Canis lupus familiaris: one gene and its partners. The protein of the gene in region 4 interacts with the protein of the main gene of each other region in a pairwise test. Links are inferred from orthologs where the notes say so. Each region holds a gene or a part of one and is shown on either strand. Other genes may lie near its edges. The genes, in order: KRT40, LDOC1, PNMA2, BYSL, TRIM27, NECAB2 and CCDC102B.

Evidence for each region.
Region 1: the proteins of BYSL (region 4) and KRT40 interact in binary tests that used the Homo sapiens proteins (3 or more experiments, as listed by UniProt). The two-hybrid records come from large-scale screens. The link is inferred for Canis lupus familiaris from reciprocal best matches to the Homo sapiens genes BYSL and KRT40.
Region 2: the proteins of BYSL (region 4) and LDOC1 interact in binary tests that used the Homo sapiens proteins (3 or more experiments, as listed by UniProt). The two-hybrid records come from large-scale screens. The link is inferred for Canis lupus familiaris from reciprocal best matches to the Homo sapiens genes BYSL and LDOC1.
Region 3: the proteins of BYSL (region 4) and PNMA2 interact in binary tests that used the Homo sapiens proteins (3 or more experiments, as listed by UniProt). The two-hybrid records come from large-scale screens. The link is inferred for Canis lupus familiaris from reciprocal best matches to the Homo sapiens genes BYSL and PNMA2.
Region 5: the proteins of BYSL (region 4) and TRIM27 interact in binary tests that used the Homo sapiens proteins (3 or more experiments, as listed by UniProt). The two-hybrid records come from large-scale screens. The link is inferred for Canis lupus familiaris from reciprocal best matches to the Homo sapiens genes BYSL and TRIM27.
Region 6: the proteins of BYSL (region 4) and NECAB2 interact in binary tests that used the Homo sapiens proteins (3 or more experiments, as listed by UniProt). The two-hybrid records come from large-scale screens. The link is inferred for Canis lupus familiaris from reciprocal best matches to the Homo sapiens genes BYSL and NECAB2.
Region 7: the proteins of BYSL (region 4) and CCDC102B interact in binary tests that used the Homo sapiens proteins (3 or more experiments, as listed by UniProt). The two-hybrid records come from large-scale screens. The link is inferred for Canis lupus familiaris from reciprocal best matches to the Homo sapiens genes BYSL and CCDC102B.

Annotation. Positions count from the first base shown.
Region 1 is NC_049230.1:21,658,557-21,662,630, forward strand, and holds the start of KRT40 (keratin, type I cytoskeletal 40), read left to right. Parts: upstream 1-1,274; 5' UTR 1,275-2,065; coding exon 2,066-2,512; intron 2,513-3,006; exon of another isoform or gene 3,007-3,009; coding exon 3,010-3,092; exon of another isoform or gene 3,093-3,351; coding exon 3,352-3,508; intron 3,509-4,074. UniProt on the Homo sapiens protein: May play a role in late hair differentiation.
Region 2 is NC_049260.1:112,049,045-112,052,167, forward strand, and holds LDOC1 (protein LDOC1), read left to right. Parts: upstream 1-1,208; 5' UTR 1,209-1,355; coding exon 1,356-1,799; 3' UTR 1,800-2,623; downstream 2,624-3,123. UniProt on the Homo sapiens protein: May have an important role in the development and/or progression of some cancers.
Region 3 is NC_049246.1:31,209,002-31,213,215, forward strand, and holds the start of PNMA2 (paraneoplastic antigen Ma2), read left to right. Parts: upstream 1-1,414; 5' UTR 1,415-1,558; intron 1,559-3,477; exon of another isoform or gene 3,478-3,513; intron 3,514-4,214. Other genes in the region: DPYSL2 (dihydropyrimidinase-related protein 2), read right to left, coding at 691-1,044.
Region 4 is NC_049233.1:10,772,509-10,776,008, forward strand, and holds part of BYSL (bystin), read left to right. Parts: intron 1-2,412; coding exon 2,413-2,575; intron 2,576-3,500. UniProt on the Homo sapiens protein: Required for processing of 20S pre-rRNA precursor and biogenesis of 40S ribosomal subunits. May be required for trophinin-dependent regulation of cell adhesion during implantation of human embryos.
Region 5 is NC_049256.1:27,394,762-27,398,261, reverse strand, and holds part of TRIM27 (zinc finger protein RFP), read left to right. Parts: intron 1-1,712; coding exon 1,713-1,735; intron 1,736-3,325; coding exon 3,326-3,441; intron 3,442-3,500. UniProt on the Homo sapiens protein: E3 ubiquitin-protein ligase that mediates ubiquitination of various substrates and thereby plays a role in diffent processes including proliferation, innate immunity, apoptosis, immune response or autophagy.
Region 6 is NC_049226.1:68,811,505-68,814,449, forward strand, and holds the end of NECAB2 (N-terminal EF-hand calcium-binding protein 2), read right to left. Parts: intron 2,308-2,945; exon of another isoform or gene 2,057-2,307; coding exon 1,979-2,056; exon of another isoform or gene 1,931-1,978; intron 1,431-1,930; coding exon 1,339-1,430; intron 1,006-1,338; coding exon 977-1,005; 3' UTR 501-976; downstream 1-500. UniProt on the Homo sapiens protein: May act as a signaling scaffold protein that senses intracellular calcium.
Region 7 is NC_049222.1:9,363,240-9,367,377, forward strand, and holds the start of CCDC102B (coiled-coil domain-containing protein 102B), read right to left. Parts: upstream 2,801-4,138; 5' UTR 2,793-2,800; coding exon 2,725-2,792; intron 1-2,724. UniProt on the Homo sapiens protein: During interphase, forms fibers at the proximal ends of centrioles to maintain centrosome cohesion. During mitosis, dissociates from the centrosome following phosphorylation to allow centrosome separation. Contributes to CROCC/rootletin filament formation.

The DNA of each region.
Region 1 (4,074 bases), on a different chromosome or scaffold from region 4:
TGGATAAAGATGTGATATATATATATATATATATATATATAATATTCCATTACATATAATGAAATATTAATCAGCCATCAGAAAGAATGAAATCTTGCCATTTGCAACAATGGCATGGGTGGTGTTATGCTAAGCAAAATAAGTCAGTCAGAGAAAGACAAATACCATATGATTTCACTCATATGGAATTTAAGAGACAAAACAGATGAACATGGGGAAGGGAGAGGGAAAATAAAATAAGACAAAGACAGAGAGGGAGGCAAACCATAAGAGACTCTTAAACATAGGTAACAAACTGGGGGTTGCTGGAGGGGAAGTGGGTGGGGGGATGAGGTAACTGGGTGATGGGTATTAAGGAGGGCAAGTGATGGTATGAGCACTGGTTGTTGTATGCAACTGATGAATCACTAAATTCTAAATTCTACCCCTGAAACTAATACTACACTATATGTAAACTAACTTGAATTTAAATAAAATCTTGAAAGATAAAAAAAGAACATTTAGCATTAAGTGTTGAAATGTGAAGAGAATCACTAAAATCAAACCCAAGAGTCTACAACCATACCACCCTGAAAGTGTTCCAATCCTATCTGATCTTGGAAGCTAAGCAGGGTCAGGCCCGGTTAGTATTTAGATGGGAGAGTAATACATACTAAGGGACTATTTAAGTCCATCTATTTAAGACCTCTTGGTTTGTTTTTGGTTTTGGTTTTTCCATCATCAGCTACCTAGGAAGTAGTGTTCAGAGTTAGAAAAAAATTTTTAGTTTTTTCTGGATCATGAAAATTTTAACTTTGTCAGAATAGTGGGCCTTTTCCAGTAAAAATCTTAAAGATTCTAGAGGCAATCTGTTCTGCCCACCTTTGAAAATGAAATACATACCACAATTATGCCAAGGAAAGTGAAAGAGATTATGCTACATACATAATAGAGATGAAATTCAAAACAAAATCCAAAAAAGTTATGTCTCAAATCGCTATCCATTTGGTACTGCACCAGGGATTTCATCCAATGGAACTCCTGGTCTGGAACTCAAATTATAAAATTTTATTCCCCAACGCCAGTATTTCACATTTTTATGAAATTGTGACCTTAAAAAAATAAGTAAATAAGAGAAAACAGATTCTATCTCAGAAGAAAAGTCTTTTATAGCTTCCTTGCCCCTATTCTGAACTGTATCCAATGAGGGTTTAGTTTCCCAAGAAACTAAAAGATTGTAACTTAGAAATTGTATTTCACTCTTATTATTAATACAGGTGAAAATAGTATACATAATCTAAAAATGAGGCATAGGTAACATAGAGAAAGCAAGTTTCAGGAAATCAAAGATCACAACTCCAGATCTTGATAACCAGTTTGTATTTTGGCCTGCAGGCCACAGATTATGCCCATCAGTTATTTATAAAGTGACTTTTCAATTTGCACACAGGTAGATGTAGTTCATACACACACACACACACACACACATATGCATGTGCACACACACTTTAAACCCAGTACACACCTCACTCCTCTACCATGTGAGCACAACAAGACCATAAAAAGCATTGCAAAGATGGTTAACTACATGGAACATTTTATGATGGTACACAAACAAATAAATGGCATTTAATGAGATGTAATATGAATTTTAAAAGGATAGATAAACAATTTACAATACAGGAGCAAAATCTGTGATAATATCATTTTTGTTATTTGTAATCAGTTGTATCTGCAATTACTGAGTGCCAAATGTCCTCTGCCTTTCTGTATTCTACCAAAAAGATAATGCATCTCATGAAGATTCTCTGAACCAAGCGTCTTATCCTACTGGCAGATGGAAATATTGCCCTTACTTAGTAACCTGAAGCTATGCCTCTTTTATGAGGCATAAAACTTCCTCAGAAAACAAACAACACTAATGAATGTTCATATGAAAACTGGCACCAACAGTGATAAACAGAACATCCGGTATGTTCTGTAAATACCCATTTGCAGGCTGTATAAAAGTCTCAGGAGGGATGGAGACTCTGGGAACCAGTCAATTGGAGTTTTGCAACTAGTCTTGTTCTTCACTTCTAATAGGATGACTTCTGACTGTTTCCCCACGTGCTGCTCTTCTGAATCCTGTGCCCAGGCTTCCGACTGTGCACTTGCTTCAACCTGTTCCATGGAGGCCACCTGCCTCCCCAGTGCCCCTGCTACATCCAGATGCCAGACCCCTAGCTTCCTATCCAGGTCTCGCTTGCCAACTAGTTGCCTCACACCATGCTACTTTGCTGGGAATTATAATATTCCTTGCTTGGTGGGGAACTGTGCTTGGTGTGAGGATGGGGTGTTCAACAGCAATGAGAAGGAGACGATGCAGTTCCTGAATGACAGACTTGCCAACTATCTAGAGAAGGTCCGTGGCCTGGAAGAGATGAACGCAGAGCTCGAATGCAGGATTCGAGAACAATGTGAAGAGGATATCCCACTGGTGTGCCCTGATTATCAGTGTTACTTTGACACTATTGAAGAGCTTCAGCAAAAGGTCTGGTGTTTCATTGCCCTAATGCTTCACCCTCCCAATCTGTGATTTGCTTTATCTTTATACTAAAAAAAAGGCTGTTCTATGGAAGTTCCCCCCATCCCCAGGGAAAGGGGTTCTCCAGGAGGAAAAGGTGGTGGGCTGAAATTCAGCAAAAATTAGCATGAGCCGTGGGGCTGCCAGTAATCATTGAATGGCCAAAATAAACTCACTCACAACTACCTATGGAGAAAAATCCAAGTTCAACTGCCAAGGAATATTGCAAAATGTTTTAGGCCACTGAAAAACGGACCCTTTTTATTTCTATATTTATTTTATGAATGGTCCTGCTTTTTTCTTCATTGAAGTGACATGCTTAATAAGAAAAATAGGCTTCAAGCTATTTTATACTGTCTTATAAAGACTTTTAAAAGATAAATAATGGTATAGTTGTTAAATGAATAAATATTTAAGTTTCTTTCAAAGAGCCCTCTAGTATATATAACTAACTTACTTACCAGATCTTATGCACGAAGGCAGAAAATTCCAGACTTGCTGTGCAACTTGACAACTGCAAACTGGCTGCTGATGACTTTAGGTCAAAGTAAGTTAAATTTGAATTTGAAAATAATTCATGGCTGTCTCTCTCTCTCTCTCTCTCACACACACACACACACACACACACACACGTGCACACTACAAATATTCTCTACATAAGCTTTTTTTAAGCTAAGAATGCTCACAAAGCTCACATTAATTGGGATATAGCTTCCTTGAGTCGTTGTGTCATTCATCAGCATGCCCAGCATCTTGCACAGTGTCTAGCAAAATAAGCACCATCTGTATCTCTTTTGCTGTGAAAGGTATGAGTCTGAACTGTCTCTTCGCCAGCTGATAGAGACGGACATTGGTGGCCTGCGTGGGATCCTGGATGAGCTGACTCTGTGCAAAGCTGATCTGGAGGCCCATGTGGAGTCTCTGAAGGAAGATCTCCTTTGCCTTAAGAAAAACCACAAAGAGGTAAGGAAAGTGTAAAATTGCTGAATGAATGTGGAGGTGACAAAGTCAAACTGATAGATTTCGTTTTGTGTATATAAATCAAACTCGGGCAGATATTGCTAAAGCTGGAACAAAATTACTCGAGGCACTAATGTCCAGCCTGATGACTCTGGCATATCTCTGGGTGTATATGTGAAATGGGCCCTGGCTAGTACCACTTGAAAGACCAAATTGTTCACCTGCTATTGCTTTCGTGAAGGAGGTAACTTTACAAATGGCTTTCCTTGGAGGCTTTATGCCACATAACTCTAATCCATAAGCTACAAAAATCAGGCTGATAAACACAGGGCATGAAGGCCATTTCAGAAAGGGGATAACATCTTATGCAATATTTGGACCAATATTTTAAAATATTCTACATCTATAAACTTTCTAAATCATAAAATACGAAGTATATGACTATCTCATGTTGATAAAGCTAAAAAGTGAAAAACTTAATGATGTAAAATGGTATATTTTCCCTTTGAGCATGTGTTGATGATAATAGCATTTATTGAGACCTTCCTATGTGCCAAGGACTTTCATAA
Region 2 (3,123 bases), on a different chromosome or scaffold from region 4:
GCTCATGTGATAAAATAGAATGTTTGTAACACATAACTATTATGCAAGTTTCAAAATATCTCTTAAAGTATCTTACTGTCCTGTACTCACCCTTCTTGTGATGACGTGAGATGATAGAATGCGTAGTGATCCGACGCCAGGCTACTGGTTGATCTTCTGGTGCCAGGTCAGAAGGAGGGTCAGCTGATTCCGGATCAAACCACCCTTGGCACGGGTGACTGAAAGCACCGGAGAGCAAAACCGTGGATCAGGAGGGACTCCTGTGTGTACTGCAGGAAGAGAAGAGTGAAAGCTAAGCAGTTGCAGCAGTCTGGGTGGGATAAGGAAGGCTGGATCAGGGTGGTATAGTGGGAGAAGTGACTGATCTGGGGATATATTTTAAAAGCAGAGCCAACAAAATTTCAGCTCTAGGGTCCTGGACTCAACGATTTAAATAATCCAGTTCAAAGTAGAAAGCCCAAAGCATTTAAAAACACAAGTGTTCATTGTTAAGCAACAAACAACATGCGACCGAGGGCCAAGGGGCATTAACAGGACATGAAACAGAGGGTCAAAGAGAGGCGAGAGCCTGCAAATCGTTCTCCAGTGGTGCTTTTGCAGAAGTTTTTATACTTGACTGTTTAGAAAAAAATACTTTTTAAAAAAGGATGTAGGTATACAATATTGTTTCCCAACTAAAGAAAAAAAAACCCCATTTAGATATTGTTTTGTTTTCAAAGAGGAGCCCCAAGGAAGGGTCTTTCGCAACTCCGAAAGGATGCGTGGCTCCCGCGGGGCAGGCCGCAGCGCCAGCAGTTCCCTGGGTGAGTGGGATTTCAATAAGCGAGGACGTGTGTCACCGAAACGCGCAGGTGGAATCTCGTAGCCACAGACCCACCAAGGAGCCCCGCACTGTGTGAGTCGGCTGAGTCCGAGCGTGACCGATCCTTTAAAGTTGAGCAGGTTGGCCCTCTCTGAGCTGGCTTTTGGCGGTCCCGGGGCGCACATCCGGGGCTCTAGCGCGGGAGCCTGCCCTTCCCGGGCGCCGGCCTCGGGAACTCCGGCCGCGGGCCCCCGGCTCCCGCCCGCCCCCTCCCTTGGACCGAGCCCCCGGCCCCGCCCCCGGCCCGCCGGCCCCGCCCCGGCCCCGCCCCCTCGCGGCGCCGGCAGCGCCCTGACCACGCCCCCCGACCCGGGCCGCGCCGGCGCGCCGGCCGCCCGAGTGGCTGTGCGGGCGGAGCTTGCGCAGCAGCCGGACCCCAGCGCGCACCGCCCTCCGCCCCTGGCCACCGTGCGCCTCGGCGGACACGCACTTCCTGCGAGGCCTCCGTGCGCACCTGAGCCGAGCCCAGCCCTGCGCTTGCAAGCCGTTCGCCATGGTGGACGAGCTGGTGCTGCTGCTGCACGCGCTCCTGATGCGGCACCGCGCCCTGAGCATCGAGAACAGCCAGCTCATGGAACAGCTGCGGCTGCTGGTGTGCGAGAGGGCCACCCTGCTGCGCCAGGTACGTCCGCCGAGCTGCCCGGTGCCCTTCCCCGAAACGTTTAGCGGCGAGAGCTCCCGGCTCCCCGAGTTTATCGTGCAGACGGCGTCTTACATGCTCGTCAACGAGAACCGATTCTGCAACGACGCCATGAAGGTGGCATTCCTAATCAGCCTGCTCACCGGGGAAGCCGAGGAGTGGGTGGTGCCCTACATTGAGATGGATAGCCCCATCCTAGGTGATTACCGGGCCTTCCTCGATGAGATGAAACAGTGTTTTGGCTGGGATGACGACGAAGAAGACGACGACGACGACGACGAGGAAGATGATTACTAGGCCGGGAGACCCTCGGGCCCAGGGGGGAGGGCCCTGCACGCCGCCATCCTCTCCCCCGCCTCTCCTGCCCGGCCCGGAGCCGCCCAGCGCCCTTCCGCCCTCCCATCCCCTTCCCTACCCCCAGCTCTCCGGTTCTCTCCGTCATCCCCCTGTAGTGCTTGCCTTTGTTCCGGTTACCTGCTGCTGGGGCCTCGCTCGGAAGCGCGCCGCCACCCACTCTGGCCAGCCCCGGGGCCCTCCCCTGCTGATTTGGACTGTGTCCTGAGCCCCAGCTATAGGGCAGGCCCCTGTTACAAACTGGTCAGACCACGCACAGCCCTGCCCTGCCGACTGCAAGGCCTCCATCTGCCCAGAGACCTACGCTGCCACTTCACCACCGTCCACCACATTCCAGCGACAGAACACAGCCTTTGAAAATAAGGACCAACCTAGAAGATGCCTGAGTTGGCTCTATGTCCTTGGACATTGATTTGGACAGCTCACCAGCCCCTGAAGGGGCCAGTCTTTCAACCTGGTTAGTTCCCTGCCTACTCCCAGGGTCCTCCCCTTCCCCACCAGATTGCTGCAGGGGCCTAGTGCGCCTGGCAGCCAAATTGTTGACATTTCTTTTCTCCTATGCACCAGTTTTGCACAGCTGTCCTTTTTCTTTCCAAACTGCAGCAGTCCCAACAGATGTGTGCATTTGGACAGAAATACTAAAAACAAAACAAACAAACAAAAACAGGCACTCAGCCCAGCTCCTCAATACCACCTGGAAAAAAGCATTTACGTTCTTTTCAATAAATATCAAGCACTACAAAAATAAAGAAAGGAGTGTCTTTTAATGGTTAAGTGCTATCATTGGCCTCTTCCAATCTCACTCTGACTCCCGTTATGCCCCCTGAGGTCAGGGAACTTAGTTCAGTCCCAGTATTCGCCACTGTCATCTCTAGGCTACAGAGGACAACTACCACAGGGTTTTCTAGGAATTCTGGTACTCTCCTCACCAAGGCATTTCTTAAAGCCCTGGCAAAAGGAGTGAGTGTCCTCTGGGGCCTCCAGGGTGGCATGGGTAAGGGGTGGCTGAGCAGGTGGCACACCATCCCAAACTGGGACACTTGAGAGTTAAAGGGGGACACTGTTAATAATTAGACTAGGACAACAGGCATAAATCTGGACACATACAATGTTATTATCTTCTTGAGCCTTTGGATTCCTTACTCAACACTGCCAGAGAAATTCTGTCCCTTAAGTCTTGTTGCCCGCGGGGCGCTGTTGAGTTCAGACTTCAGTTAACTACGTAGCATATTGTTTTAATGCCCCTTTCAGGTGCTTGAACTGACAT
Region 3 (4,214 bases), on a different chromosome or scaffold from region 4:
GCTATTTGGAGCGTCTCGGGTTCCTTGGGTGACTCCACAGCCTCCCTCGTTTCACGCCGCGAGCAGGAGTCAGGGCGAGCGGATCCTCCCAGGCGGTCCGCCCAGGCGCTGACCATGGTCCTGGCCTCCGAGCTCCCGACCCGGGCGCCGAGGGCGCGGGAGAAGGTACCGGTGGGAGGGCGCGCAGGGCGCGGCGGGGAGCGGCTGTGGAAGCCCCCGCCCCTCCCGAACCCCGGGGAGCCCCCGGGCCTGCACGCGAACCCTCCACTGCACGCTCCCAGATGCATCAAAAAAGGGTGGGGCACCCAGCCACAACTGCAATCGGAAGCCGCCCAGAAGGGTTTAAGAAGAATGGAATCGGTTCAACCCTCCCCCCCTGCATCGCCATACGACCCCCCCCCCAACCCGGGATCGGTTCTTCCTTCACCCGCACCCCCCACCTCCCAGGCCCGGGGAGGCGCGGGCAGCCTTTGTGGGCGCACAGCCGCCCATCGCCGAGCCCGAGCCTCTCCGCGCCCTGCACGGAAGAGGGGCAAGGAGGGTGGGGTGCCTGTGCGGGTTCGAGGATGCAATATCCCAGCGAGGCTGGACGGAGGAGGGCACGCTGGCATCCTCGGTTCTCCACCGAGCTGGGAGGGGCGACTCCCGCCTCTGGTCCCGCGTCTCGAACACCCCCACCCCCACACCAACCTGGTCGTAGATGTTCTGCAGCGCTTCCTTGCCCGAGGCCCGCCGGATCTCCACCTTCCGGCTCGATTCAACAGATGGCTCCCCGCCGGCGCGCCGGCCCTGCCGGGGGTGCGGCTGCTGCGGGTCCGGGCCCAGGTGGGCGACGTCCCGCTGCTGAGCCACCACCTGCCCCGAGCCCCGGCCCACAGACAGCGAGTCGAAGTCGATGGTCTTGTTCTCGGAGGACCCTTCCACTGGGCAGAACATGCCACAGAATTTCTGCCGGGGCTTGGGGCTGCCCGAGCCCAGGTTTTTAAAAAAGGCAGGGACTTCTTCATCCTCTGCCGGCTTCCCGGACTGCTTCCTCTCGGCCATGGCGCGGGAGCTCAGGGAGGGTCCTCGCGGTGCGTCCGTCTGCAGGTCCCTAAGTCGGCCTCTCTGTGCACAAACCCCCGGGCTGCCGCCGAGGCTGCCGCTCTCTGCCTACCGCAAGGTGTACAGAAAGGAAGGAGGGCTGGCGAGCAGCGGCCCACCCCTCCCGGCCCCTCCCTCTGACCCCGCTTTCTCCCCTCCCTGCCCACGCCCCCCGCCGCCGCGCCAGCGCCCGCGAGCAGCAAAGTTGGGTCTGGGAGGGCGGCCGCTGCGGCAGCAGGAGGAGAGGCTGCCAGCTTCCCGGCAGCGGCGGCGGCAGGGAGGCGCGGGCGGGCGGGGGCGGGGCGGGGCGCGCGCCGGGAGGGGAGGGGCGGGGCGGGGCGGGGAGCGGAGCGCGGGCCCGGGAGCGGAGAGCAGGGCCGGGCCGCCGAGAGCCCCGCGCTCCGGAAGTGGAGCGGCCAGACCACCCGCTAATGGATGCGGAGCGCAGGGCCCGCCGACCGCTCTCCGCTCCGGGGTAAGTGTGGGGCAGCGCACGCAGGGGCGGAGACCCGAGGGCGCAGTCCCTGGCCTCCGCGCCCCTGTCCCCCACCCCCACCGCATTGCAGAGGTGGGCCCGGGGCGAGGGAGGGCGCCCTCCCCCTTACGCGGGGTGTGAGCTGATGGATGGGCAGAGAGGGGCGAGCCCAGGGAGGCCCGGACACCCGCGGGCAGGGGAAGGGGCGGCGCTGACGATGGGGAAGGGGTGGCGCAGTCGGTTTAGGAAGGTGGGGGCCTTACGAGGCACGGGACACCGAGCCTTGTTAGCCACGGGCCTGGGGGGGCCACGCAGAGATCGAAACGCAAAGGTTCTCCTCACTCGCAGCACCCACAGTGGTGGGGGGCGCCCAGCCAGGCGGGGGGAAATACAGAGGGGCGTAGCCCAGTGTGTGTGCGTGGAGGGGGGGGGGATAAAGACATAGGCCTGCGGGCTGTGGGAGTGTAGCAAAAAGTGCAGTCTGCAAATTCTGGCACGGACGGCAACTCGTAGTAAGAGTGGGTAGGGACCTGCTCTCGTGCCCGAAGGCTCCGCGTGCCGTAGCTGCGCCACTGCACCAAGAAGGGCCCGGGAGAATGCCTTCATTTGCTATCTTCCACCTTCCCTGCCAAAAAAGAGGGTAAGACGCAGACTGAAGCCCATTCCCCAAGTCCCCGGCCCTTCCTCGCGCCCGGAGCGCCCCGCCTCGATCCCCCGCCCGCGTTGCGCACTGCGCCAGAGCCGCGGCGTCCCCCAGGTGGCCCGAAGCCCAGTGCCTGGGATGTAAAGTGCTGGGGCGCGAGTCCGCTGATGGGGTGGGAGATCGGGTGCCGCCTGTGACTGTGCCTTGAATGGTGTGAGGCCACGCGAGGGTGCGTGGGGCTGGGTGTGTGCGGGCGGCTAAACCAGCCACAGCTACTGGGTTGGCGGGCAGATAAGGGGCATTTAGATTTGTGCCGGGAACGCGGTCTCTGAGAGTCCTTCATTGCTTGTTCCTGTCCCCACGTCCTTTCCATGCATCAGTCCCTGCCTCTGGCCGATTACAACCCCGCCCCTCTTTCCATAGTGGCAAAATCCTGCAGAAATGATGCCCATCCTTTGGCGACTGGAGACGGAGATCTGGGCATGCTCAGTAACCAGGGTGGGTTTGGGCTGGGAGAAGCTGTTTACCGCAAGACCCGCGTGCAGGGCAGCGTGACCAAGGATTCACTCCCATTGTCAGCTCTTGCCCCTGCAAGGATTAAGTTCGGATACGCTCCCCCCACCCCCAATCGTGAGGGACAGTTTGGGGAATGGAGTTGCATTTGGAGGACAACCGGTCACAGTTTGAAGACGAGCCCACCATGGCAGGTGGGAAGGAGGACCCTGCTGAGAACGGGAGACTGAGGAAGGAGAGGAATATTTGTGTGGAGGGGCCAGGACTTTGCACCAGATGTGCTTCGCATTTGAATAAAGTGCTTCCACACGAATTACATCATTTCCTACCCAGAGCAGGCACGCGAGATAGGAGTGCTTTTATCATCACCCATTTCCAGAGCAGGAGACAGATCTAGAGAGATTGAGGCACTTTGGCTAAGGTCACTATGTAGCTAAATGATCCAGCCAACAACGACACCTGAAAATCTGATTCCTTTTTTTTTTTTTTAAGATTTTATTTATTTCTTCATGAGAGACACACAGAGAGAGAGGCAGAGACACAGGCTGAGGGAGAAGCAGGCTCCATGCAGGGAGCCCCATGTGGGACTCGATCCCTGGTTTCCAGGATCACATCCTGGACTGAAGGCAGCGCTAAACACCTGAGCCACCCGGGCTGCCCGGAAAATCTGATTCCTTTTCCAACTTATCCCATCTTTACCTAAGAAAATACAAAATTTTACTTTTTTTTTTTTTTTTTTAATGTGCCAATATTTTCATTGCAGGTAGAGATTGCCTTTGGAAGAAGCAGCCACCCACAGGTAGCCTAACCTCAGCATGGCCGTTATTATGTAGACCTTGGAGATGTTTCTTCCTGGGCATTCAGTGCCTTTTTACATCTCGTATTTCCTTTAAATATCACAAGGAAAGGAATGTTACCCCCGTATCTCTGAAGGGAGAGTGCAGCATGGAGAAGCTCACTGGGCTCAGATCCCTGGGGCTGCTGGTTGAAGGTGGGACCCAGTATTTTGCTCTCTTGGCCCTCCGGCACACCCCAGGCCTTCAGCACCTTCTAGAAGGACTTGGAAAATGTGTCTGCAGCAGGAGCAGCTGCCTCTATAGCTGCAAGTTGATGTCTGGGGCATATGAACCCCGTTTGGATGGATGGGGATCTTTGAGACCTACAGAAGAATATTCGTAGCCCCTTAACACATACCCCATAGCTGTAACTGGGAGACAGTAGGAGCTCTTCCCTTTCTAGGTTACCCAGACTCCACCACTCTCCATGGATGGGCTTCCTGTTTTTCTTTTTCTTCAAATGACCCATTCAAGCCTAAATGCTATGAAGCATTTTTAACATTGATCGCAAAAAAAAAAAAAAAAAAAAAAAAAAAAAAAGAAAACAAAACATTGCATTTGTAAAGCCTGCCCAGACATAACAAAAGGGAATTGACTTGTAATTCCAGGTTTGATTTATTTGGTCCAATTTTTTAAAAAATTGTTAAACCTATACTAAATTATT
Region 4 (3,500 bases):
TGGGGAGGCTGCTTCTTCCTCTCCCTCTGTGTGTGCACATGTGTGTGCGCATGCATGCGCTCTCTCTCAAATAAATAATCTTAAAAAAAAGAAAAAGGAAATTCTCAGGGTCCTGGGGTTGAGTCCAGTGTCAGGTTCTGCACTCAGCAGGGAGTCTGCTTGTTTCTCTCCCTCTCTCTCTATTTCTCTCTCTCTTCCTCCCCACCCCCCGGCCAAATAAAATTTTTGAAGAAAAAAAGGGAAAGAAATACACCTTACCTCTGTTTCTACACTCCTGACTTCTCAACTCTGTTCTTTTTTCATAGCACTTGTCTTCTTTTAATACTTATTATTATCTATCATTCCTGTTCAAACGTAAGCTCTGTAGGTTTCTCTTTTACTTATTTTTTAAATATTTTATTTAGAGAGAGAGGCAGAGACATTGGCAGAGAGAGAACCAGGCCCCTGAGGGGCACCTGATATGGGACTCAGTCCCAGGACCCTGGGATCACGACCTGAGCCAAAGGCGGATGCTCAACCACTGAACCACCCAGGTGCCCCAAGTTGCCTTTTATACTAATTTTTTTCAACACTTGGAACAATGCCTCACATATAATAGGCTCTCATTGTTCGCTGAATGAATGGGCTAATAGTAGTAAGGTAGGTAGAAGTTAAATCTACAAAAGATTTGGAGGCTATGTTTAGGATTTAAAGCTGTCCTAAAGACAGCAGGGGGCTATTGCAGAATATGGAGACCAGTTAGGGGATTGTTGAATACAGGCAAGCAATGCCCCTGATCTAGGCATAGGCAGAACTATGAAGGATTTGAGAGATAGTCTGAGGTAGAATTCAATAGGACATGGTAATTGATTGTGTAATTGGGGTGTGGGCAGGGGGCGAGGGCAGGCCTACCAGGTTCTGGCTCAGTATTTGGTGATGGTAGTGCCATTTACTTAGATCTGAAACACAGTGAGTAGTATAGACCTAGAAGGAAAAGAGTGAGTTCAGTTGATGACAGGTGAGGTTTTAATTGCCTGTGGCTCATCCAGGAGGTGCTCTACAGGAGGGAGCTAGAGTAAAGGGAAATATACCTACAAGCACAGATTTGGGGTTTGTTAGCATGTAGACACAAAACATCTGGCACATCCCCTCCCCCATTTAGCTTTTATCACACACTGCCTCTTTTCTTAATGAGCTGTTCATGTGTAACATTTCTTTCTGTTCGGATATTACATCCCTTCCCAGATGCCCAACCACCTATAGCTTTCCAATAACCAGTTATAAAAATGGGTTGTTCCAGGGGTGCCCGGGTGGCTCAGTCGTTAAGCATCTGACTTTGGCTCAGTTCATGATCCCAGGGTCCTGGAATCCAGCCTCCTGCCTCATGGCAGGGTCTGTGCTCAGCAGGGAGTCTGCTTCTCCCTTTCCCTCTGCCTCTGCCCCTGCCCTTGGTCCTGTTAGTGCAGACATATGCACAGTCTATCTCCAATAAGTTAGTTCTTTTTAAAAAGAGGGGTTTGTTCATTAAAATCTGAACTGCATTGCCTGACCTCAAGCCCTCCACAATCTGGCTTTACTTTGACCATCTAGCCTTATTTCTTGCTACTGCCTATCAGATGCTCTTGTAACCAAGCCTTCCTGGCAGTGTTGTTACCCATGTCTGGAGCACACTCCTCCAGCTCTTGTACTCCCTGTCCAGAGTCTAACCATCCTCTGTTGTTATTACCTTTTACGTACCTGTGGTATACACTGCCTTTACCTTTTATTTTGGCATTTAATGAAGCCCTACAATGTTCATAGAGCAAAAAAAAGTGAAGAATGTACAGTCTAAACTCAGACTACCTGCCTCAGGCAGGTTACTTAACTTTCCTATGCTTAGGAGTCCCTACCTGAAACTGGATAGAAGTAGCTACTTGGGATCCCTGGGTGGCGCAGCGGTTTGGCGCCTGCCTTTGGCCCAGGGCGCGATCCTGGAGACCCAGGATCGAATCCCACATCGGGCTCCCGGTGCATGGAGCCTGCTTCTCCCTCTGCCTGTGTCTCTGCCTCTCTCTCTCTCTGTAACTATCATAAATAAATAAAAATTAAAAAAAAAAAAAGAAGTAGCTACTTGTTGGCATTATGAAAATTAGGTACAGTGTTTAGAACAGCTCCTGCTATATAACTGAGTCTAGGGTGTTAACGATTGACTACTCATTGGCATCACTATCTCCTTGGCTCATATTTGTACACTTTGTCTCTCAAGCAAGATTGGGACCAGGAAGCCCCTGGGAACTGGAAGACAGTGGGTGCATCCGTGCTTCCACTGCCCCCATCTCTATCTGTTATAAGCACATGTGAGGTCTGTATTTTACATGATGGGTAAAGTTGAATTGACCTCTACATCCCTCCCCAACTCCCTGCCTTGCTCATCTGTTTTATCCTCTCTTCTAGGTCCAGGAGTCCCGCAGGACGGATCAGATGACGAGGATGAGGATTGGCCCACCCTGGAGAAGGCTGCCACAATGACGGGGGCAGGCCATCACACAGAAGTTGTTGTGGATGCTGAGGATGAGCGGGCCATTGAGATGTTCATGAACAAGAACCCTCCTGCCAGGTAGGGCTAGCATGGCCTAGGGATTGGGATGTCAGGTCCGGGTGCAGTTTTCTATAAGGAGGCACATGCCCTGCCAGTTTTGGTTCCCTGCCTTTGGGAAGGGCCCTGAGCATAGCTGATTGTGGGGAACCAACTTGGCAAAACTGGCCCCTCCTCAGAATGACCCCAACTTCCTGCCCACCTGTCCACTTGTTATAGAACTGCTCAGACTGGCTGGGGAAACAGCTACAGGGTCTTTTTTCATGATGCCTCAGGGCGATCCATCCTATTCCATTTGGTTTTGTTATGCTCAGTTTTCTCAGTGCTAAGTTCGATTTCCTTGGCCAGATCTCTTTCACACTCTCAGCTTCATATCAGCTAGGGTTTCTCATCCTCAGCACTACTGGCACTTTGAGCTGGATAAAACTCTTTTTTGTCGAGTCTGTCCTGTGCAGTGAGAGGTATTTGGCAGCATACCTAACTTCTCACTAGCCACCAGTAGTGACCTTTTTCCCCAATCTTGATAACCAAAAAATGTCTCCAGGTATCGCCAAATGTTCCCTGATGGGCAGACTCACCCTTGTTTAGGAGCACAGTTTATTGCCCTGTATCCTAAATGGCAGCTCCAAACAGGTGGGCATTGAAGCTCCTACACGCAAACTCTTTAAGCTGGTAGATTCTGATCCAGGGGAGGGAGGTCTAGAATAAAGACCTTCAACTAGTTCATACTGACCCTGTGATATTTATATGATACTCTTCTTAGTTCTTAGGCTTTTATTTTTTTATTTTATTTTTTTTTAATTTTTATTTATTTATGATAGTCACAGAGAGAGAAAGAGAGAGAGGCAGAGACATAGGCAGAGGGAGAAGCAGGCTCCATGCACCGGGAGCCTGATGTGGGATTCGATCCCGGGTCTCCAGGATCGCGCCCTGGGCCAAAGGCAGG
Region 5 (3,500 bases), on a different chromosome or scaffold from region 4:
CCCTAGGTGGCGCAGCGGTTTAGCGCCTGCCTTTGGCCCAGGGTGCGATCCTGGAGACCCGGGATCGAATCCCACGTCGGGCTCCCTGCATGGAGCCTGCTTCTCCCTCTGCCTGTGTCTCTGCCTGCCTTTCTCTCTCTCTCTCTCTCTCTCTCTCTCTCTGTGACTATCATGAATAATAAATAAAATTAAAAAAAAAAAAAACTTATAAAAAAAAAAAAAAAAAAAGAATTGCCCCAGTAAGGGGCAACTGAGTATCATGTACCTTTAGAAGGATATACCACTGGGTGCCTGGGTAACTCAGTTGGTTAAGTATTGGACTCTTGTTTCAGCTCAAGTCTTGATATCAGGGTCCTGGGATTAAGCCCTGCATCAGGCTCCATGCTCATTGGGGCATCTGCTTCTCCCTCTGCCTCTACCCCTCCCCCCTGCTTGTGCGTTCTGTCTCTCAAATAAATAAGTGAAATCTTAAAAAAAAAAAAAAGAAGAAGAAGAAGAAGAAGAAGAACATACCATACACCAGTTAAAGATGATACAGCCTGGATTTAATCATGAGGGGAATATCTGACAAACTCCAAAGGAAGGATGATATCCTGTAGAATAAACAACCTATATTAAACCAGTGTCAGTGTCACAAAAGACAAATCAGCCCTAAGGAGCCATTCCAGATATGCATGGTGATAGCTGAGTGTGGTGAATGGTCATGGATTACCGAGCAGGGAAGAGAGTAGCTGAAGATCACTTTATTAAGGTGATTGGTTAAGGGCCTGCCTTTGGCCCAGGGTGCAGTCCTGGAGTCCCGGGATTGAGTCCCACGTCAGGCTTCTGGCATGGAGCCTGCTTCTCCCTCTGCCTATGTCTCTGCCTCTCTCTCTCTCTCTCTCTACGTCTATCATGAATAAATAAATATAATCTTAAAAAAAATAAGGTGATTGGTTAAACTAGAGTATGGACTGGGTTAGATAAAGGTTTTCTTAGATCATTGATCATTAGATCCATGTTCCTTATTCTGGATTGAATAACTACTGTGGTTATGTGAGAAAATGTACTTATCCTTAGGAAAAACACACAGAAGTATTAACGGGGCAAAGATACAGCATAGAATGTAAATAGTGATCTCTCAAATGGTTCTGCATATAAATGTGGTTATAAAATCTGGAAAATTGGGGATCCCTGGGTGGCTCGGCGGTTTGGTGCCTGCCTTCAGCTCAGGGTGTGGTCCCGGGATCAGGTCCCACATCAAGCTCCTTGCATGGAGCCTGCTTCTCCCTCTGCCTGTGTCTCTGCCTCTCTCTCTCTCTCTCGAATAAATGAATAAAATCTTAAAAAAAAAATCTGGAAAGTCTGGGAAGGGGTATCCAGGAGCTCTGTACTAGCAGCTTTTCTGTGTATTTGAAATTATTTCACAATAAAAAGTTAAAGCAAGCTGGACAAGTAGGCAGTTGTGGTCTGAGGGTGGGATACTGGAGTTTGGAAATTTGAAATCGTGAGATCCTGGGCCAGTGGGGCAGAAGCAGGACAGAGGAGATGCTGGGAGTGCAAACTGTGCATCTCACTTTGCTCACCCTGACTCTAGGTCCTGGGCTGAGTTGTGGTCCTTGTCTCCCTGGCTTTTCGTAGGAGGGCCAGCTGGTTCCTGGGTTTCCAACCAACATCTGAAGGAAAACTGAAGCTACGAAGGTCTCATGGTTATCTTTTCCTTTCTCTTGTAGGACATCGGGGACACACTGAGCAGGTACGGTGTTCTCTCTCTCCAGTGCTCAGTCACACAGGAGGATGTTTCCCTTAGACTCATAAATCCTGAAAGGAGCCAGAGAAGGACATCTGACGAGAGTGAAACACAGCCTGCCCGTCTCTGGACCAAGTCACTGGTGTGCAGAGAGCTGGATGGACCACAGTTCTGCTTAGTAAACTCAGGAATTACTGACAAACTGCGGGTGAATGAGTACCTGTGATTTGTGAGGACACATCTGTGGAGAGCAAAGGCTCACACAGAGCTGGCCAAAGTGCAAGGGTTTCAGAGTCCTCTCCCCAACTGTATGATGGGGAAAATATGGCCTAAGAGGAGTGTGGGTGGCTCAGAGTTGCAGAATCAGTGCTAACTTACCTGATACAGGCTCCTGTTCTCATTCCTTCTTGGCTGTGTGATCTGATGGGGACGGGGAGGAGCGGGCCAGATGCCAAAGTTCACCTGTGTTTGCAGGACAGACAGGGGCCCATGGGCTGGGGTTTGGTGCAGCAGCATCTACAGGGGCAGAGGCTGACTTAGAAGGAGCTGAACTTTCAGATTGTTTAAAACACTGCACAGTACAAGCCCTCCAGAGAAATGAGCTGGGCCAGGGCCTCATAGATAGAGTAGGTTGGCTGGGAGTGCCACATGGAGAGATTCTGGGGTAAAATCGAGGGTTTGAGGGAGATGAATTGGAGCGTGTCCAGTCCCAGCCAGATGGCCCCAGTGATCCCTGCCCTTACAGTCACTGATGCCGGTCCAGTTCTGGCCTGACATGGGGAGATAGACCCTTCAGAGCCCAGCGTTTTATGACATTAATGTTGGGGTCTGGCTGTATGAGATAGGAAACCAAAAATTTCGTTGGCTTAAAGCTGAAACATAATTTCAGAAATTGCCACCTGTGAGGAAGGTGCAGGTAGGTAGCCAGGGGCGGAGCAGGGAGTTTCCTTCTTTCCGCTCTCCTGCTGTCCTTGAAGTCCCGGTCCAGGATGGTTGCTGGAACGCCAGGCAGCATGAGGGTGATAAGTACGTCACAGCACGCTCCCCCTGAAGTAGGCTTCGCAGATTGCCATGAGACACTCCTTCCCTCTTACTGGCCAGAGCTCAGTCACAGGGTTGCATCTAGACGGGGCAGCCGTGAGCGTGGTGTAACTTGGGAGATGGGATATTGGGGAGGCAGCTGGCAGTCATGGATCATGGACCCCCTGAACAGGGTGGGTGCCAATCTGCCTGAAAAGGGTTCTTACCTCTGGATTGTTGCCCACCATGAAGCTCAAGGACTTTGTCATGGAATCTTTTGCTTTCTGGCACGGTCAGCCTTCTATTCGGTTTAATTCAGTAAACCTTTTTGAGGACAAGCCATTTGAAAATCCATGAGCTAGGTCCTGTTGGGGGAATGGAGATGAGGAAGCTGTTTCTCCTGCTTTTGTCCAGAGGATCACAGTCTAGGCAGAGAAGAGGGAAAAGGCTGTAGGGGCTGCTTTAAACATTGTTGGTCATTTTAACCCAGACTTTGTCTGGGCTTCTGAAGTCATAGGGTTAGAGGAGGGGAGGGATTTACTCCTTTTTTTTTTTTTTTTTTTCTTTTTTTTTTAGAGCTGAAAGAATCCGGATCCCTGAGCCCTGGATCACACCTCCAGATCTGCAGGAGAAAATCCACATTTTTGCACAAAAATGTCTGTTCTTGACGGAAAGTCTGAAGCAGTTCACAGGTAACAGGAAGATAGGGATCCCTTAGGGGAAATGCATTCATGCTCTGAATATCTGTCTT
Region 6 (2,945 bases), on a different chromosome or scaffold from region 4:
GGTCTCAGCCCTGACCTCCAGAGGGGCTGGAGGCTAAGTCAGCGCTCTGCAGGGCTGTCCCCGCCCCCTCCCCAGGGGAACCTGATCTCCCAGGCTCTGCAGAGCTTCCTGGCTGGTAGTGCTGTATGGGCGGTCTCTCACTTGCATCCCTACTGGGAGCAAGAAGTGAGGGGCCTGGACTCTCCGAGACCCCTGCATGTCTTCCCTTCACAGATTTTAATCTGTACCCTTTTGTTGCCATAACTCATAGCTGAGCGAAATGGCTCTGCTGCATCCTGGGAGTCCTTGTGACATGAGCCAGAGGAGAACTGCTGGAGACTCCCCGAACTTTGTGACGGGCCTGACCTCAGATTTATCAGCTCCGTGGTGCAGGTAAGGAAACAGGCATTGGGGTGATTTGGTCAGGGTTTCATGGCCAACATGGGGCCCCGTGCACAGTGACGGCTTTACTCCTCCAGTCGCCCTCAACTGGAAAGTCCAAAAGAACAACACCGCACGCGGGCGTTCCCAACCAGAGTGTATTGGTGCCTGCCAAGCATGGCACTGGCTACGTGGGCTCTATTGCCATGTGCAGCTGGGCACAGGCCGAGGTTGGGCACTACAGGGTCTTGGCTCCTACCAGGTAGAGGAAAGTTGACCAGGCCTGTGACGCAGGGGCCAGCAAAGGGGCCGGTCCCGGTGAGGCCAGGGCAGGCTGCAGAGGAGGGGTGGTAAGGGGTAGGGGGAGAGGGTCATGCGTGGCCACTGGGCTGGGGGGCCGGGGGGTGGGGTGCTGTCCTCCGGCTCCAGCCGCTCAGACTGCTCTGCCACTAGGGGTGGGGGTCCGGGGAAGGCTGGGGGAAGGGGCTGCTCCTTCATTTCAAACAGGGAAAATACATTCTTATCTGGAAGTAGATTGAAAAGACCACTTGTGTACCAAAGTTTCTAGAAAAGGGGGCGGGGTTGGCAGGTGGCTCCAAAGGCCTCAGGAAGGCGGTCAGTCACGGCCCACGGTACACCAAACAGCTGGAAAGGGGGGAGAGAAGGTGTTGGAAGGTTGGCCCCTTCTCCTGTCCCATAGTGAGGGGCAGGTCGCACACCTCCCCTCTCCTGCTCCCCTGGAGCTCACTCTCCATCCAGCCCCTGCCCCCTGGGGGGGGCCCTCATGCACATGTTAGGGGAAGGGGTGCCCCCAGAGCCCTGTTGGCTGAGGCTCTGCCATTGCCCTGCAAGCTGCTCTGTTGGTTCAAGGTTGGAGGGCTGCCTGAGGTCTCCAGCCCTCTCCCCTCTCCAGGGTATCAGCCCTTGGCCCTTGCCCCCCCATCTCTAGGACCCTCTGCACCCCCAACTTCCATCTACCTGGCACCAAGATCCTGGAGAGGGCCTCAGGCTGACTCAGCGTGTCCACCTTGACATGCCGGAAGGCCTTGCACACGGGGCTCTGCAGATGCCTGCAACCCAAAATATGGAGGGGTATTTCCGGGGATTGGGGGACAGTGGGGGAGCCTCCAGCACTTGGGCTCAGGTAGGGTCCAAATCCTGTAACCCTGGCCCTACTGAACCCCATGCCAGCCACGCTTGGTACTGAGAGCCAAGGAAGCCAGGCCTCAGGCTGACTGCGGGGGCCTTGTTGCTGCAAGGGCAGGTTGGGGTGGGAGGAACAGCCTGGTTCTTGCCTCTCACCGAGTGCTCTTAATCAGAGACCTTTCTGGAGTTTTATCTTCCCGAGGCCTCAGTTTTCAAATAGGAACAGCCTTAGCCTCTACCTCCTGGGCTGGCCTGGAGCCTGGGTTCAGAGCCCAGCAGGTGCGATGGGGGGCGGGGGTCCATCCCTCCACCTGGAGAAACCTGTCTCCAGCTGCATTTAGGGCCCTGAGACCAGCATTCTGTGGGTGGATGCCCCAGGGATGGGGGCTCACTACTCCCCTGCCCTCCCCGTTCTCCTCTCCAGGGAAGGGGCCTGAGGGACGAGGACACCCGCATCCCCAGCCCTGCTCACCTCCTCCACTCCTCCTCCGTCTCCCAGAACTCGTAGACCACGAAGGTGAAGCCATCCGCCAGCCTCAGGGCCGCGATACTGTAAGAGGAGAGGCTCCAGCTGCAGGGGGCCTGGCTGCCCCCTCACGGCGGGTGCCCCCCATGCTCCACCCCACCAGCCTGGCAGGATGTGGGAGGGCCCCAGCACCGGTGCAGGAGTAACCCAGCCGCCTCCCCCAGGGCCAGGCTCCTCAAATGCTCACTGAATTAAAATATCATTTCATTGTAATTCAAACGTTTTACATTCATTAAAAAACCCTACCTGTAAAAATAAAAGCCTTTTTCCTGCTAGGCTCTCCTCCAGAATTATTTTATTTAATCCTTAAGGCACTCTTGTGAGTTGGAGTTGGCCCAACAGCAGCAGGGGGAGGGCCGTGCCCGGGTCAGTGGGTGGGCAGGCCAGGACCCCCTGTCCCCATCACTCCTGCAGGACCTGGGGAAGCACCCGGCTGCCCACCTCCTTGTAACAGGGCTGATCCCACCTGGGCCAGGGGCTGCCTCCCCGAGTGTGGCGGACCTGGCAGGGAGGCGCTAAGCTGCCACCATCTCTAACCCTGTCCTGATCTGGCCCCTGGCTGCTTTCTCACCGCTCTGCAGAGCAGCACCCCCAGCATCCTTCGAGGAGGAGGAGGAGGATCGCTGTCATGGGTGGCATTCCCCGTATAATTACGGGCGATTCCCGCCCTAACCGCCCAGGGTGGAAGCACAGAACCAGGCTACCAATCGTAGCATTAGCTTATTAGGTTCCAGCCTCAAATGACACGTGGGGCTGTGGGGTCGTCACCGAGAGGACAGGGCACACGTGTCACCCTCCGATCAGATGTAACCCTGCACCAGACATGGATGGCAAGGCTTTAGGTCACCGGAGCAATTTGGTTTGTTGGTACTTGGTTACTGGGAGATGAAAGCCACCACGGGGGCTGCATTTG
Region 7 (4,138 bases), on a different chromosome or scaffold from region 4:
GGCAGAGACACAGAGGGAAAGCAGGCTCTATTCAGGGAGCCTGACATGGGACTCGATCCCGGGTCTCCAGCATGGCCCTGGGCTGAAGGTGGTGCTAAACCACTGAGGTGCCCCACATTTATTTTTTAAATGTAACTTCAGATTGTAAAGGTTGCTTGAACACTACTTCTGTTGCATAGCTCTACTCTAGAGCAACCCAAAAATTTAAGGATTTTTCTTTTTCATAGAGAATTTTCCAGAAATAGAAAACTTTGTTTTGAATTTTCAAACTTATGTTCAGTGTGTTCTCACAAAATTTCTATCTCTGTCTTACAGAGGCTTCTCACTTATGCATCAAACTAAGATGATTGCTAATAATATTATTTTCAAATATATGTTTGAAAATGCATTCTATTGATAATGTAAATACACATCAGCATCATAGCTATCATTCAAATATAAATGAACAGAACATTTTCATTCTCTGCCACATGGTCACATAATGTAGAAGAGGAGATGCTACAATAGTCACATCAAAATAAAATGGCCATGATTCAAAACACTGGATATGACTGTTCCACGTTCTCATCTGAGAAGTTTAAAAGAAATCCCATTTATTTTAAGCTATTTAGACAGCCTGGCTTTTAGAAAAAAAAAATTAAATATTAAAATAAAGGTAGTTCATGGTTTCTGACCATCATTTGCAAATATAATTTAATCTTTATCCAAAACTTTGGCAATATAATGAACATCGAGAAAAATTATGGGCTTACAATTCGTTAGATGTGAAAAATTCTATGTCTATATCTTATTGTTCCCTGAAGATCCTTCTCTAATACAGTCTGTAAGACCAAGCAAAACATCATTAAAAATAGAGGACAGCAGAGGGGATACAGTCAATAATATCATAATACACTTATCCTGGTGAGCATTTCATTAGGTATAGAATCGCTGAATCACTACGTTGTATACCTGAAACTAGTTTAATATTATATGTCAACTACACTTCAGTTAAACATTTTTAAATAGGTAACTATAGGGGATCCCTGGGTGGTGCAGCAGTTTGGCACCTGCCTTTGGCCCAGGGCGCGATCCTGGAGACCCGGAATCGAATCCCACGTCGGGCTCCCGGTGCATGGAGCCTGCTTCTCCCTCTGCCTATGTCTCTGCCTCTCTCTCTCTCTCTCTCTCTCACTATCATAAATAAATAAAATTTTTTAAAAAGTTAAAAAAAATAAATAAATAGGTAACTATATGAGGCGATGGATGCATTAAAAAAATAAGAAGGTAAGTGGAGGAAATTATGAACAAAATTAGTCTCAGCATGGGAATGGGTACTAAAATTAGTGTCCACTTGTGGATATTTATCTTCTTACCATAATATAATCCACATATAAAACACCATGTTTTTCCATGTATTTTTATAACAGGACTGTTTTCCCATTTAAGTAAATTCAAAGACATTTACTAATAAGAAATAAAATGTATCTAGTAAAACCAAGGGTGGTACTAATTGGTTGTAATGGAACTAAACTTAATTTCATGTCCAAAATATTTTCACATGCAGTATCCTTACAATATTCTCATCTTTCCGTTCCTATCAATTCCAATAGTTCTACCTCATGCACCCACTGGCTGGTATATACCCTAGATACTATTACCATACAGCATTTCTTCCATTTCCATGTTAAGCACCCTTTTGATTACCTTCTGTGGTCCACAAAATTCTCTTCTTTGACCTAACTTGGACCTCCTATTAACTGATCCCATTATCTTTTAACCATTTATTACCTACTTCATATTGATACTCCTTCCCTTTTCCAAGCCCCATTAATTAACAATTTATGCTCAGCTAGATTGGCATTCTCTTAACCTTATTGCCTAGAAAACTCCAATTCTGGTTGGCATTCAACTATCTGCCTGTTCCACATAGGCACCTACCTGAGCATCTGCTAATACTTAGAGAAAACATGGTTTACTTTCAGGTCTCACTTCAATTCTTGATTCTGAATATCACATCAGCCCTTAGCACTGCACAGCCAACCCTACTCCATTTCCCTTATCATTTCACTTTCCCATTCTCCAAAACTCCACCCATCTTCTTCCTTAACTCTTCCATCTTTCTTGATGAAGTTATTCTTTTTTTCCCTCTGTTTCACTTTAAAAAAAAAAAAAGTTATCAAAAGACAACTACCATTCTCTGGCTCTACCACACTTATCAGCCTTGTGGTAACCCTGATCTCAGCCTCTTTCTACATCATCCTTGCCCCTAAAGTCAAACTTTCCATTTGCAGGTTCCATCTGAATCCCCACTAGCTGACTTAAAGACTTAACTCCTACAAATAGAGTTCTCTCTCTCCTTTCTAATAAAATTAAATCTCCCTCCTAAGTCATTCTTATCGGCAAAGGGGACATGCTATAATATCTTCAACCTGAAAAACAAAAATCATCTTGATCTCCATCCAGGGACCATCACATTTCTCTGATATTTTTTATAGTAAAAACCATTAGAAGATATTTTCACTCATCTCACTCTCTCTTGAACTCACTCTACCAGTTTTTAAGCCTAGATCTCTGCAAAAACAGAAAATCAATAACTTCTGTATTGCAAAATCTAATTAACAGTTAACTCCTATTTTCCTTGACCACTCAGTAGCATTTTATATAACTTGGCCATTTCATCTTTCAGCAATGACTCATTTACTTAGCTTCTGAAAGACTCCTCTTTCATGGGTCTCCTCCTACCTCTCTGAATGGTGCTCTTCATTCTGCTCTGGTGGGTCTGCCTCTGATATGGTAGTACTCCAGCACATCTATTTTTTGGGGGGAAGAGGGCTTTAATTCTACAAATTAAAGACAAGGATTATAGGATACCATTTAAAAGCTCTGCAATGAATATGTTTTTTATTCAAAAGGGTACTTCTGTATTCAGCTACCAAAAAAAGTCCTTCTATCAGTTTTTAACAGCAAATATTCTTTTATCTTTTCTACATATAACAGCAACTCATAGTAAATATCATCATATGCAAGTCACTCAGGTATTTAAATATATAAAAATATTAGTAATCTGCAAAGCTATGACCTTAATAGAATGGTATTGAGCACAACCCATCTTCTCTTTGATAGGCTGCTTTCCTCCTATAAGATAACCAGTTTTCTATTTTATAATACTTGATAACAATTGTGCATCAACAGTTGATCAGGGCATTGAGGACCAAACACTGAGGACCAGGTATTGAACATGTAAAAGACTCTCTATAAAATAGAATCTTGGAAAACAGCCTAGATCTGTTTAATTAAAATGAAATGTCCTAACCTAAGGTCAGTGATGAAAGTATTTGAGCTGACAAGTATACTTATTGTTTTCTTAATGATATATTTAAAGGAATGAATCTTTACATTACAACTATCTTCAGCTGTTTGGGCATATGGCAAAAAGGCATTACTCCAGTAAAGCCTATTTAAATGACAATAAACTTCTAAAACAGTAGATCGTACATTTCTAAAATGAGAGCACAGACACTATTATATATATATAGTTATAATATATATTTATAAAATATTCTATTTAGAGAAAAGTTAAATATATTTAAAGTTTAGATATACGAGGAAAAATGTTAAATGGGGCTTATTCTTTTTACTACTGATGTACTGTACTCTGCATTGTCTATTAGCAACATAAATTTTATATATGCTCTTCACCCATTCAAATAAAACTTACATGATAATCATGGGGTCTTTCCATTCATATCACTCATCATAAACAAACAAAAGAACGCCAGTGTGTTCCCAATATCATTTCCAATAACCACATGCGTTTCTCTTATGAATATGTGATATTTGATGAAAATCAGTGATTAAACTTCCTCTGAGAAATCAAAAGACATCTTCTTTGAATACAATGTTCAAGAAAATAAAAGAGAGGAAAGCCTAAGTGTTGAATATGAGAATCGCCAATTTAAGTATAAAAACTGCTTATTTTCAGTATCAATTTCTTCTGTCTATTCCCTAAAGTAAGAGTGGACCACCTGAGAGAATTGTGATTAGCTTGGATTTACGGATGTCGTCTCACTGTCTCTTCCCTGCACGCTATTACCCCAACGCCATCCCAAACCATTCTGCTCAACTTCTGCCAGACTCACATTCCTAAAATACCAGT